Linked DNA regions of Arabidopsis thaliana. The protein of the gene in region 3 purifies or fractionates together with the protein of the main gene of each other region. This does not show direct contact. Each region holds a gene or a part of one and is shown on either strand. Other genes may lie near its edges.

Region 1 (3,755 bases), about 14 Mb from region 3:
TAGCTTTTTGCCAATCCAAATGCAAGGCGATCTGCATCACGTTTTGTTTGGGTAAAGACAATGCATTTTCCTCCTTTGCCATGTTCCTGTAAAGGAGAAGATGTTATAAAATCACGACTGGAAACAAAAATGAAGAATCAAAACAAGATACAGATAATTGGCTTAAAAGCAAAGTAAAGAAAACATACCTTTACAAGAGGACCAATGATGGATGCTCTTCCATAAGAATCTGCAGCGATAGAATACATAGTAATCCCATCTGCAAGTTTCTGATCTGAATCTCCAACCTAAATTACATAAGAGTACATGTGTCATTAAAAAATGTCACTTCATTAACTACACTGCTACAGCCAAGATCAATATTTGCAATTTGTACAGCAATTCTAAGATATAAACACAAGCAGGTATAAGACTACTCACAAGATCAATTGTCAAAGGATTGTTCAGGTACTTCTTGGTGAGAGATCTGATCCAACTTGGCATTGTTGCAGAAAACATCATACTCTGACGCTTCGCTGGCAACTTCTGCAATATTATTTCAACATCTTCCGCAAATCCAACTTGAAGCATCTGATCAGCTTCATCAAGAACCACAAACTGAACCTCTGATAGATTCAAAGCTCCCCTTTTCATCAGATCAATGATACGACCAGGAGTTCCAACCGCCACATCAATACCATAGTTCAGCTCCCTCATTTGTTGCCCGATTGGTGTACCTCCATAGAGACAAATAGTATCCAAACTTGGAGCAGATTCCCTGAACTCTTTCTCAACCTGACGAGCAAGCTCCCTCGTCGGTGCCAAAACCAAGCACTGAGGATTCTTCCCACGACTGTCACATCAAAAGACAACATAAGAACCAAAGGAAGTGCAAATCTCTCAATCACAAATGATCGTTATATATAACAGTAAACACAAACCCATGTTTAGCGTTGAATTTGATGATTTTGTCAATAATAGGAATCCCAAAAGCAAGTGTCTTTCCCGTTCCAGTCCTTGCACGGCCAATCATATCACGACCCTCCATCGCTGGCTCCAACACAGCTTTCTATTCAACCAAACACAAACATCAAAAACTCAGTTAAAAAAATCTAAACTTTTAATTGATCTCTATAACCAAATGGAACAGAGAAGAAGATCATATATACCTGAATAGGAAAGAGTTTCTCAATACCCCTACCCTTCAAAGCTTTAACAATCTCCGGAGATATACCAAGATCAGCTATCGCAAGCCCATCACCACCACCGCTGCTACCAACACTCTCCGAATCTCCAATCCCTCCATCGTTCTCATAAGAAGGAGCATACTCTTGAGCCGCGAATCCCGCAGAAGAAACAATCGACGATCTAAACTCCGACGGTACAGATTTAACATGAAAGTCTCTCACTTTAACACCAAAAGGGCTCGAATTCGAAGGGAGAGACTTGACATTAGTAGCTCCATTTGCTAGATCGGAGACTGTGGCGGCGGCTGGAGCAAGGTTATGAAATAGAGCTGCGTTAATGGAGGTCACCGAAGCGGCGAGAGTACGCCTTGACGTACCAAGGATAGATCGGCGAAGTACTGTGCTAATCATTTTCAGATTTCAGAGAGTGTGATGGATTCTGGTGAAGATGAAATGTGAAACCCCAGAAATGAGAATTAGGGTTTTAGGGAGACGGCAAAAGGGTTTAGAGATTTAAGAAGAAGAATCAAAGGCGGGTATAAAGGGAACTTTGTTATAATCACCTGCGGGTGAGTGTATGGTATGTTCCTACACGTGCAAGCTTGTGTAAGGAAACAGAGTTGATTATTATTTTTTGCTTGAGCCCAAAGGTGTTCTTGAATGTGAAGCAAAGAGTTAATGAGTTCTGTTTTTTGTAACTTTGTGTAGTGTGGCAAATTGGCAATAGCTCAGGTTCGGAATCAGATCTATCAAATTAACCTATACCATATGTCTCAAATCATTAGTGATTATGTACAATGTAAAAGTCTTAGAATTGCCTAATGAATGAATACACCTAAAATGTGAGCTCTTGGATCCTTAAAGTTCGACATCATTCCATGGTCGGGTCAAAGGTTTCTATAACTTCTCAAAATGACACCTTTAGCAGTCTAAATGTGTCTCAATCCTTGGTGATGTATAAAGACTTTGATTGGCTAATGAATAAATGGAAAGCACTGTAACTGAAACTCAATTGTATCTTTCAAAATCGTCCAAAAACACATGTTTATACTAAGCAAGAAAATAACTACTTGATCTGATGTGAAGCAAAGCTGGTTTCATGGATCCGTAAGGTTCGAAATTATTGCATAGTACCCGGTTGGGTCTTGAAACTTCTACAAAATGATGTCTTTAGCCATCTCAGTAAGCATTGGTGGTGGAGCCATTGATGTTGCCTAACACTTGAGTCATATCCAAACGGGTCTTGCAATGGAACTGGAGTTCATATTGAGCTCCAAGAATACGATAACGTTTTAACCAAAACAGCTTCTTGCTCAACTCATGACTCTGAGCTTTGATGACAAGAAACCGTTTCTTGAACCTCATCTCAAACTGTTCTCTAGACTTCTTATCGACGTGAGGCGATCTTAGCACCGTGTACAGAGTTCGTGTATCGGGCATTGCGACTTTACGAGTGTGAGGAGGAAGACACCAAGCTTGCTTTTCCGGGTTAACAAAAGACCGAATCGCTATACAAATCTTTGTTCCTTTTATCTTTGATGTGCTTTCTTCTGCTGCCTCTTTCTACAATTCAACCCCAAACACACAACAACAACAACATAAACAACAGTTCTAAATCATTTCAATGAATTTCACATTCCGATTCCTATTCGAATTTGAATCTGATGAAGCACTTTGAATAATATTCTATGAATTTGAACAAAAATGCATATACCTGGAGAGCGATCTCCTTCCTACTCAATGGTCTGACATTGTCTGGAGAAATTTTAATCTTAGCTTTCTTAATCTCGTTTTTGCGATCCTTTGTGACAGTGGCGTAACCTTGTGACGCGATTCCTGCGGGAACAATCATCGACGGCTCAGATCTAATGTGGATGTTCCTCGCTCTGATGCCAAACGAGTTAGGAGACGACGCGAGAGTGAATCGAGAGCTGACGGAAGCTCCGGTGGTGGCTGGAGTGAGATTGTGCGAAATACACGAATTGAAGGAGGCTAACGCGGCGGAGAGAGTCTGCCTCGACGGGAGTGAAGATCGGCGCAATACTCCGGCGATCATTTTCAGATTCAACGGTGAGACGAAGAAATGACGACGAGAGATTGAAGGAAATCTGAAAAACCCCAAATTAGGGTTTCAGTGAAAGAGTAAGCGAAATCAGAGAGAATTGTGAGGACAGGATCACCTGTGACGAGTGTACGTTATCTTACGGTGAGCTACAGTATAATTTTGTTTTTTTACTGAGACAAGTGAAAAGATGCAAAAATGTTAAAATCCCAGGAAGCAAGGTGAATAAAAATTACAAATTAACTCTACTAGTTTAACCAGAGATAATCAGAGTAATACATAAGAGAGACTCAAAAAAAAACTATATCCATGGATTCTAGAGTTTCTGAGTAATGTAATCATCAATCCTGGAATCTCTGGTGGGTGTTGTTGTCTGAAGAAGGCAGATACAAGTTTTGGGATTTGAGAGATTCTTCTTCCTTCCTTTGGTTTTTTTTGTTTCTCATTGTTTTGTCTCTGTTTCAGCTAGTTTACGCTCTAGTACTCGGCTTCTTGTTGAAAGATTCAATAAAGCGGAACATCCAACG
Region 2 (3,755 bases), on a different chromosome or scaffold from region 3:
AGAAACCAAAGACTACCCAAACCAAAATAAAGAAGTAAATACTCACTTATAGACTATTTCAACAGATTTCCGAATATCCCAGCAAAGAATGTAAGGATCCTGAAAAAGAGCAAACAAAAAAGAAACATTTTTTTGGTGAGGTTAGGACAATTCATCATCCTATTACATATCATACTCTAATATTGGACACCAACGAGAATATCTCTGGACAGACGATACTTTCCTCCAAAAAGGGTTATCCTTAAAATGGAAGTCAAGTTGCGATATAATATGCTCAACATTCAGAGGGTAAAATGTTTATAACAGTATGTTACCTTGCGACCTCCTGTATATAAATAGTTCCCATCCTTTGAAAACTGGACCTAAAAGCCACCAAAAATTCGATCAATAATTGGATCATATCCCAATGGACAAAAATAAGGCACATTTAGTGGTCAATGCTTACATGTGTAACACCGCCTTCTTGACCATGTAAAACATACAATAGCTCCATGTTGTCTTCTCTATAAATCCCAGTAGTTTGCCCGTAAGACCCCACAGCCAACATTCCAGAATTAGTTGGGGAGAAAGCAAGAGTAGATAATATACCTGGAAATTATGAACCAGTTAAGGTTGTTCTTGTTTCTGTATAATCTGTAATAATATTGTTATGCAGCGTCTGAGTGGAAAAGAAAGAAAAAAACCTGCTTGGCCCTCTTTGTTTTTCTGTAGAGTTGAATACTGCCTAAAATCTCTTCCAGGACGATGAAGATCAAACACTCTGATGGAGCTGTTGTAACCAGCAAAGATCCTAAAGACATAACACAGGCAAATGAACATAGACCACTTTTAATCAATTCTTTACCGTGTGGGAAGATGGATACAACTTAGATGAAGTTTTTGCTTACTTGGTTCCATCAGGATTGAATCCAACTGAAAATGCAGCAGTTATTTCATCCATAGCATCATAGGCCCGGTATGTGCATCGAAGCTGACATTGTGTTATTCACATGTAAATAAACAAAAAAGGATGGTAGAAAAAATCTCCAGTAAACATGTTAAGTTTCATGGAAAAAATCAGCACCTCACCAGAAGTACTATCCCAAAGATGTATCGGATGGTCTCTAGTGGAGGTAGCGAAGACGCATGTTAAAGGGTCTGATATCAATCAGTGAACAGCCAAAATCAGTAATTCAACTGATGAAATCATTAAGCCAAAAAATTGAACCCCTTATGATGAGCTTATCTATTACCTGAAACTGACATGTATGGATACCAACAGAAATCATAGACAGATTCACCCTCATTCACTAGAAGACTCGCACCATACGAATCTACAATTCCAATAAACACACCATGAATCACAAAATTACTTCACACATATTTTACAGCATTTGCCACAACATACAAATGCTAGATGGAAAAGCTAACCTTCTTCAGGGACTGGCACTCCATAGCCATTAGAATCCCCTCCATCTTGTGGCCTGATGGGGCAAATTTGCAAAACTAAAGATTCAACAGAGAACTAAAACTACACAAACATACAAAATTATTGATACTTAAGCTACAAAAATATTTCAATTGAAATTATTCAACTTACAGATGAAACAGACTAAGTGTATTATCTTCAGAGCTTGCAAGGAAACATGAACCATCAGGTGACCTATATAAGAAACAGTAACAAAATCAGTACCTCAAAAGTTAGGCAAAAAGAAAAAACCAAACTTTGAGAAAGAACAAAACTCTACTCAAGAGATTGATTTGAAACAAGAAGAAAAGGGTACCACTTAAGACCCTTGAGGAAATTATTAGGGTTTCGAGCTGTCCTGAACTGCTTAGAGAAATGGTGCGTTCTATAAGGAGAGACATCAAATCTCATAGTAGGCCAGGATGATTTTTGTTCTCCTGATTCTACCTTAAGTCCACCATTTTCTTCTGCTACTGCTTCTTCTTCACCCATCTTCTTCGTCAGAGCTTCTGGAAAAAAGCAGCAGAGAGAGGTTTACTTTCGTTCTAAACCCCAGTCAAAATCTCCAAAACCTGAACCAGGTTTTCAATCTCAGACCGACAAATTGAACCGAACTTAAACCAAAAACCGGATTAGGGATTTTGATTGGAATTTGGAAGAAAAGCCCGCCAGGTTTGTCATTAGTGCGTCTCTCTCTTCTCCCGGCGGATCGGCGAATCCCGGCGACCACCGTCTTCTTTCCTTTATCCACTCTCTACAGCTTTCTTCTCAAGTGTTTCTCTCTAGTTACTTCCTTCCTACAGCTTTGCTAGATATTGAAAATTAGAATATTAACCCCTAATCCCAAAAACCTCGGAATGTCGGAAATGGCGAGTGACGAGGAAGAAAATATCATTCCTTTCCAGCTCCAGTTCGACAAGCCCATACCTTTTCAGGTTTTGGTTCTACTCCTGCTCAAAGTTCGTGTCTTTTTTATGCTTTTAAGGATTTAGATGTTTATATATGTTCAATTTCATTAGATTAAGATAGCTGAGTGGAACCCGGAGAAGGATTTACTGGCAATGGTTACTGAGGACTCCAAGATTTTGCTGCATCGGTTCAATTGGCAGAGATTATGGACTATTTCGCCTGGTAAAGTTTCTCTCTTTTGTTCACTTTGTTTGATTTAAAGTAGACAATTTTGATTACAAGATGGTTTGTGATTATTGTATTCCTTAACTTTCAGGCTTGATGAAAATTCGTTTGTGGAACTTAGTTATTTGCTGAAATTGAAAGTGGAATGCAATTTGAAGTAGGTTGTCAATAGTTCTGGTACTAAGTGTATTTCCTTTCTTTTGGTTTATAGGAAAGCCTGTTACTTCTTTATGTTGGCGTCCTGATGGCAAAGCCATAGCTGTTGGGCTCGAGGATGGAACCATTTCACTTCACGATGTTGAGGCAAGTATAGATTGAAACTAATCCATGTTTTACATGATGACGTTGTTGATAGCCTAAATATTCCTTTTTAAACTTTGCTGTATAGAAACTAGTATTATGTTTTATTTATAAAGGATCATGCTGATCAAAAAGTTGGTAATACTCTTTTCATGCAGAATGGGAAGCTATTAAGGAACTTGAAGCCCCATGATGTAGCTGTCGTGTGTCTTAACTGGGAGGAGGATGGACAATCCAATACTGTATGTTTTCTCCTCTGACTAGTTGTACAAGAACTCATGTTTGGTTGCGGTATCTATATTTGTGTTGACAAACTGAGAAAGTTTCTTTTACCAATCCCAGTTGAAGCATCTATTCTCTTAGTTTTTTTTTTCACACCCAACTCTTATAGTTATTTGAGCTTGTGCTTACTTTTTCTTAGAGTTTGGTTTACAGGATGAAAGTGGTAATTTCTCAGTTTATGAGGACCGGACCTCCCGTTTTTTTCCTCCTGCTCCAAGACCTCCAAAGATGCCTGGACTGGTAGCTGGTGACTCCAGTTTCATGGATGACGGTGAAGACTCTTTGGCAGAGCTATCCAATACCTCATTCCGGAAGTTTAACATTCTTTGCACTGGTGATCGTGATGGGAACATATGCTTCAGTATATTTGGAATATTTCAGATAGGAAAGATTGTAAGTCGCTCTTTTGACTGTAAGTAATTAGTAAGCCGTAATTATCCATTCATGTATTATGGTTGATGATGCTTCATCATCTTTCCATTCCGCTTGCATATAGAATTGCAGGATGCTTAATGAATTTCAACACTATTTCTACATGGAAATTATTTTCTGAGATCCTTAATTGTTCGTTTATAACAAGTAATTAATATTG
Region 3 (3,755 bases):
CTTCAGATATGAAATGTGTGAACTATTATAATCTTTCCTATGATATCATCATCAGCAGATGATTCCTGATCTATTCTATCATCAGAACAATGATTTTCCAAAACGAGTATCCTATAAAATCGTCAAAAGATGATTGACGCTTCTAATAAAATCATCAGAAAATGATACAAGTCTAAGAAACCACCGAACTTGTGAAGATATGTCATTAGAGGATGACCTGTAGATCCATCTATGATATCATAAGAAGATGATGTACTCACTGTGCAGGAACCTTTAAGCAGATATACCTCTATGGTCTCTTCTCCTAAGTAAGGATCATCGCATCTGGTCTCTTCTCCTAAGTAAAGATCATCGCATAGTCATTAAAGTCCGCACCCTCTTCTCCCGCTCTTCCCTTTTAGCTTGAGGAGTGCTCTTCAACTTCTGGATCTCCGCCATCACAATTTTCTCAACTTTGTCAATAGAATTGAGTAGCTTCTTCTCGGGTGTGATGAAGCCAGCTTCTTCCTCAGCTATCTCTTTAGTGATGTCAAGTAACATCTTTTGAACTTTAGCAGTTGATGGTGGGCAACTACGCTTGAATCCCACAGATGGTCCAGGAGTGACCATCGAGCATTTGTGTTCTCCTGACAGTGGTACTGGAGATTCAAGAACACCAACTTGTCGATGAGTTGGGATCTCAATAACTCGGCCATCGTCTCCTCCAGTCCCAGCTCCTCTTCTTCTCTCAATAGCCTGTAGTTCAAGAGTGTCAACAGAATAAATCGCCAGGCTAAGCAAGCCTTAAGGCAACAAATCTATGTGATAAAACTTATACAGATAGGCTAAGCAAGCCTGCTATGATCAATAATAAACAGAAACGCTTTAACAAACCAAACCTATCAGTAGCAGATTCCTAATTCAGCTCAAAAGAAGGATTACAAAAACCAATGGGGAAACTTAGACTCAGAGAAACCATTTTCCATGTGCTACACCACAAACAAGAGAGATCCCAAACATTTAACCAAGCTGCAAAGCAAAACCCATGCCAGACCAAAACTGATTATACAAAGAAGAATCAACAGGAAAACACAAAAGAGCTTGTCAATTTACCCGCACAATATGAGTTATGTCGCGTAGAGGTGTTCTTGGATACCAAGAAGGCAACAAACCACCACCTCTTCCACGCCTAGCGGTCACTATGGGCATATTCTCTCTTCCCTGTGGCAATCTAAATGGAGTGTGACCACCTCTGCCATTACCAGGCCTCCATGTAGTGAAATTGCCTCTCACAAGCCCGCCCGTTCCACCAATAGACCCAATATCTGGATTCACCGGAGATTCAATCAAACTAAGCCGTGAATCTGGCTCGTCAAGTAAAATACCATGTCTCCGTCGGTTGGCAAATATAGTCGAGTAATCCACAGGCCTCTCGGTTCGATCTCTTGCTTCTGGCATTTTGATAACGTCGCTGAAACAAACAACAACATAGATTCAATTAGAGACTGAAACATCAAAACTGAATGAAGAAACCCTAGGGTTTTACCCAGAAATCAAATCGTTCATTTCTCCTTAAAAATCAACCCCAAAATTTCCAGAATAATATATCAAGAAACGGAGAACACAACCAAAGGTTATCACAAACAATCCCAAAATGAAATCACAAATCACCCGATTCCAATTTCAAATCGAGTCACAAGAACACCGGTAAACCCCACCCTAACGTCTATAAACGCAATCAAATAGAAGAAGAAACACCATGGATTTGTGTTTACCTTTGAATCTTCAATAAAGCTATTGATAAACTCCAAAACTGTGTAGAGAGACAATGAGAGAGAGAGAGTGAGAGAGAGAAGAGAGCTTTCTTGGGGAGAGTGACGATCTGGGCAATATTTCAAGGTCGCCTCCTGAGCGGGATTATAATGAGGAAACAAATCCGAAGGCACTGGCACGTGCGGTAGAAGGCTCTCTCACACGTGTGCGAAACAAATTTCAAATTTTGCATCACAGGCGGGATCAACGCTTAAAAAAATCGTCTCCTTGTCTCTGAGATTACATTTTTACCCTTGTAAAACCTAATGCAAATAACCGAGTAAAGTTTGTCTGTGATCAAAGCCTACCTGAGTTTCTCTACGCCTTACCGATCCAACCGTTCAACGGCACAGATCTTACCGTTACATATTGCATAATAAGAACATGAGTTCAGATAGTAATTTTTTTTGTATATAACTATTATCAGTTTATCACCATATATAATATGTTTATTAGTCCCAAGCATAACAAAGATCATATTCTCGAGTCTGTGCATCAAGAGCACAAGCTCCATACACTATGATGGACCAAAATCAGTTTCAGCACTGATATTTGTCAATATTATCTCTGCTATCTTTATAAATAGTAATACGTTGTGCTTTATGACCAAATATAAACATACAAACGTTACGAGTTAGTCCCCGTAAACTTTTCCTAAACTGAACGAATTCCGTCGTACGCCCCGGTAAAAATACTTGGTCTTAATAATTCCCATTACTACGACAACTAGAATTTAGCACCAAACCATCTCCGATATCGTTTGTGATGTATACATATATTTTCAAAAGAAAAATCCGATTTGAATATATTCTCACCCATCACTACACCGTTTTGAGATAATGCTACTTTCATAAGCAAGGATAGTATCACAAGCATTATCAGTTTTCTATGGGAAGCCATCTTTTCTCTTCTTTATGTTATGGTTTGCAATGTTTCGTTGAGGTTCGTTTTCTATTCATATATTTATAGGCTTGTTAATGAATTTGTTTAGACCATGTTAAGTTGTAACGTACCGTGCGTTAACTTAAAACATTGACTTGCTAGCTTGGGGGTTTATGATCTAATAACCGTTTTGCATTCTATTGAAACACACATTATTGTTAATGCTACCATTAAAAAATCTAATTGTAGGTTAAAGGCTTAAAGCGACTTGATTTGTTATTCTAGAAAGAGGGTCAAGGCTTATATGTTAAACCCAAGAAACAATAAAGTACTTTCCTTCATCTATAACAAATGTACAACAAAGGAGAGTGACATGATGATCAGGATCCCTAAACCCAACAACATGCCAAAAAGATACTACTCACTCATATAGAATCAAAACATGATGGTGCATGAATTTTACAGTCAACGGAATTGCAAAATTTCTAACTTACTTGCTGAGTTACCTCAAAACTAGCCGATTTGATACGGCCGTGACTCAAAAATTATACAGTCCGATTATATTAAATACGTTGTATCATTCAACTGGAAAATTAACCAGTATTAGTTCATCACCCTTTAATTATTATCATCATATAAAGAACAATATATTACTGGTTTATTTATCCCAAGCATAACAAATGTCATATCTTCCAGTATGTGAATTTAAGGCACAAGGTCCATTCCTTCTGATGGTCCAAAAACAGTGTCTGCACTCATATTTGTGAATATTATCTCTGTTATCTTTATAAATAGTAAAATGACGTATTTGTCTTTCATTCCCAAATCTAAATTGACAAACATAGCGAGTTCCTCCCCAAAACCTTTTCCAGAATTGAACGAGTAATCTCCTACGCCACGGTAAAACTAATCCTCGGTAACGATCAATCGAATTTCCGTTAAAATAACAACTAGAATGCAAGTCCACATCACTTTCGTTTGAGATGTATACAAATATTTTCGGAAACAATTCCCATTTGAATATATTCTTACCCATCACTACACCGTTTTGAGATAATGCTACTTTCATGAGCAACGACGAT

Evidence for each region.
Region 1: the proteins of UVI4-LIKE (region 3) and PMH1 purify together in Arabidopsis thaliana (affinity purification with mass spectrometry, with the first as the bait; one large-scale study listed by BioGRID). This does not show direct contact.
Region 2: the proteins of UVI4-LIKE (region 3) and APC4 purify together in Arabidopsis thaliana (affinity purification with mass spectrometry, with the first as the bait; one large-scale study listed by BioGRID). This does not show direct contact.

What each region holds. Positions count from the first base shown.
Region 1 is NC_003074.8:7,885,204-7,888,958, reverse strand, and holds the start of PMH1 (putative mitochondrial RNA helicase 1), read right to left. Parts: upstream 1,684-3,755; 5' UTR 1,578-1,683; coding exon 1,149-1,577; intron 1,049-1,148; coding exon 921-1,048; intron 833-920; coding exon 421-832; intron 288-420; coding exon 189-287; intron 87-188; coding exon 1-86. Other genes in the region: RPS10 (ribosomal protein S10), read right to left, coding at 2,346-2,729, 2,881-3,222; AT3G22290 (Endoplasmic reticulum vesicle transporter protein), read right to left, coding at 3,699-3,755.
Region 2 is NC_003075.7:11,448,439-11,452,193, forward strand, and holds the start of APC4 (Transducin/WD40 repeat-like superfamily protein), read left to right. Parts: upstream 1-2,113; 5' UTR 2,114-2,304; coding exon 2,305-2,382; intron 2,383-2,466; coding exon 2,467-2,578; intron 2,579-2,792; coding exon 2,793-2,884; intron 2,885-3,039; coding exon 3,040-3,123; intron 3,124-3,316; coding exon 3,317-3,556; intron 3,557-3,755. Other genes in the region: AT4G21520 (Transducin/WD40 repeat-like superfamily protein), read right to left, coding at 47-99, 315-362, 446-588, 684-790, 888-970, 1,064-1,137, 1,233-1,313, 1,411-1,463 and 2 more.
Region 3 is NC_003074.8:21,424,415-21,428,169, reverse strand, and holds the start of UVI4-LIKE (UV-B-insensitive 4-like protein), read right to left. Parts: upstream 1,886-3,755; 5' UTR 1,755-1,885; intron 1,451-1,754; 5' UTR 1,438-1,450; coding exon 1,093-1,437; intron 736-1,092; coding exon 349-735; 3' UTR 1-348. Other genes in the region: AT3G57850 (uncharacterized protein), read right to left, coding at 3,379-3,563, 3,706-3,755. UniProt on the Arabidopsis thaliana protein: Negative regulator of the anaphase-promoting complex/cyclosome (APC/C) ubiquitin ligase required for proper mitotic and meiotic progression and cell fate determination. Involved in entry into both meiosis I and meiosis II.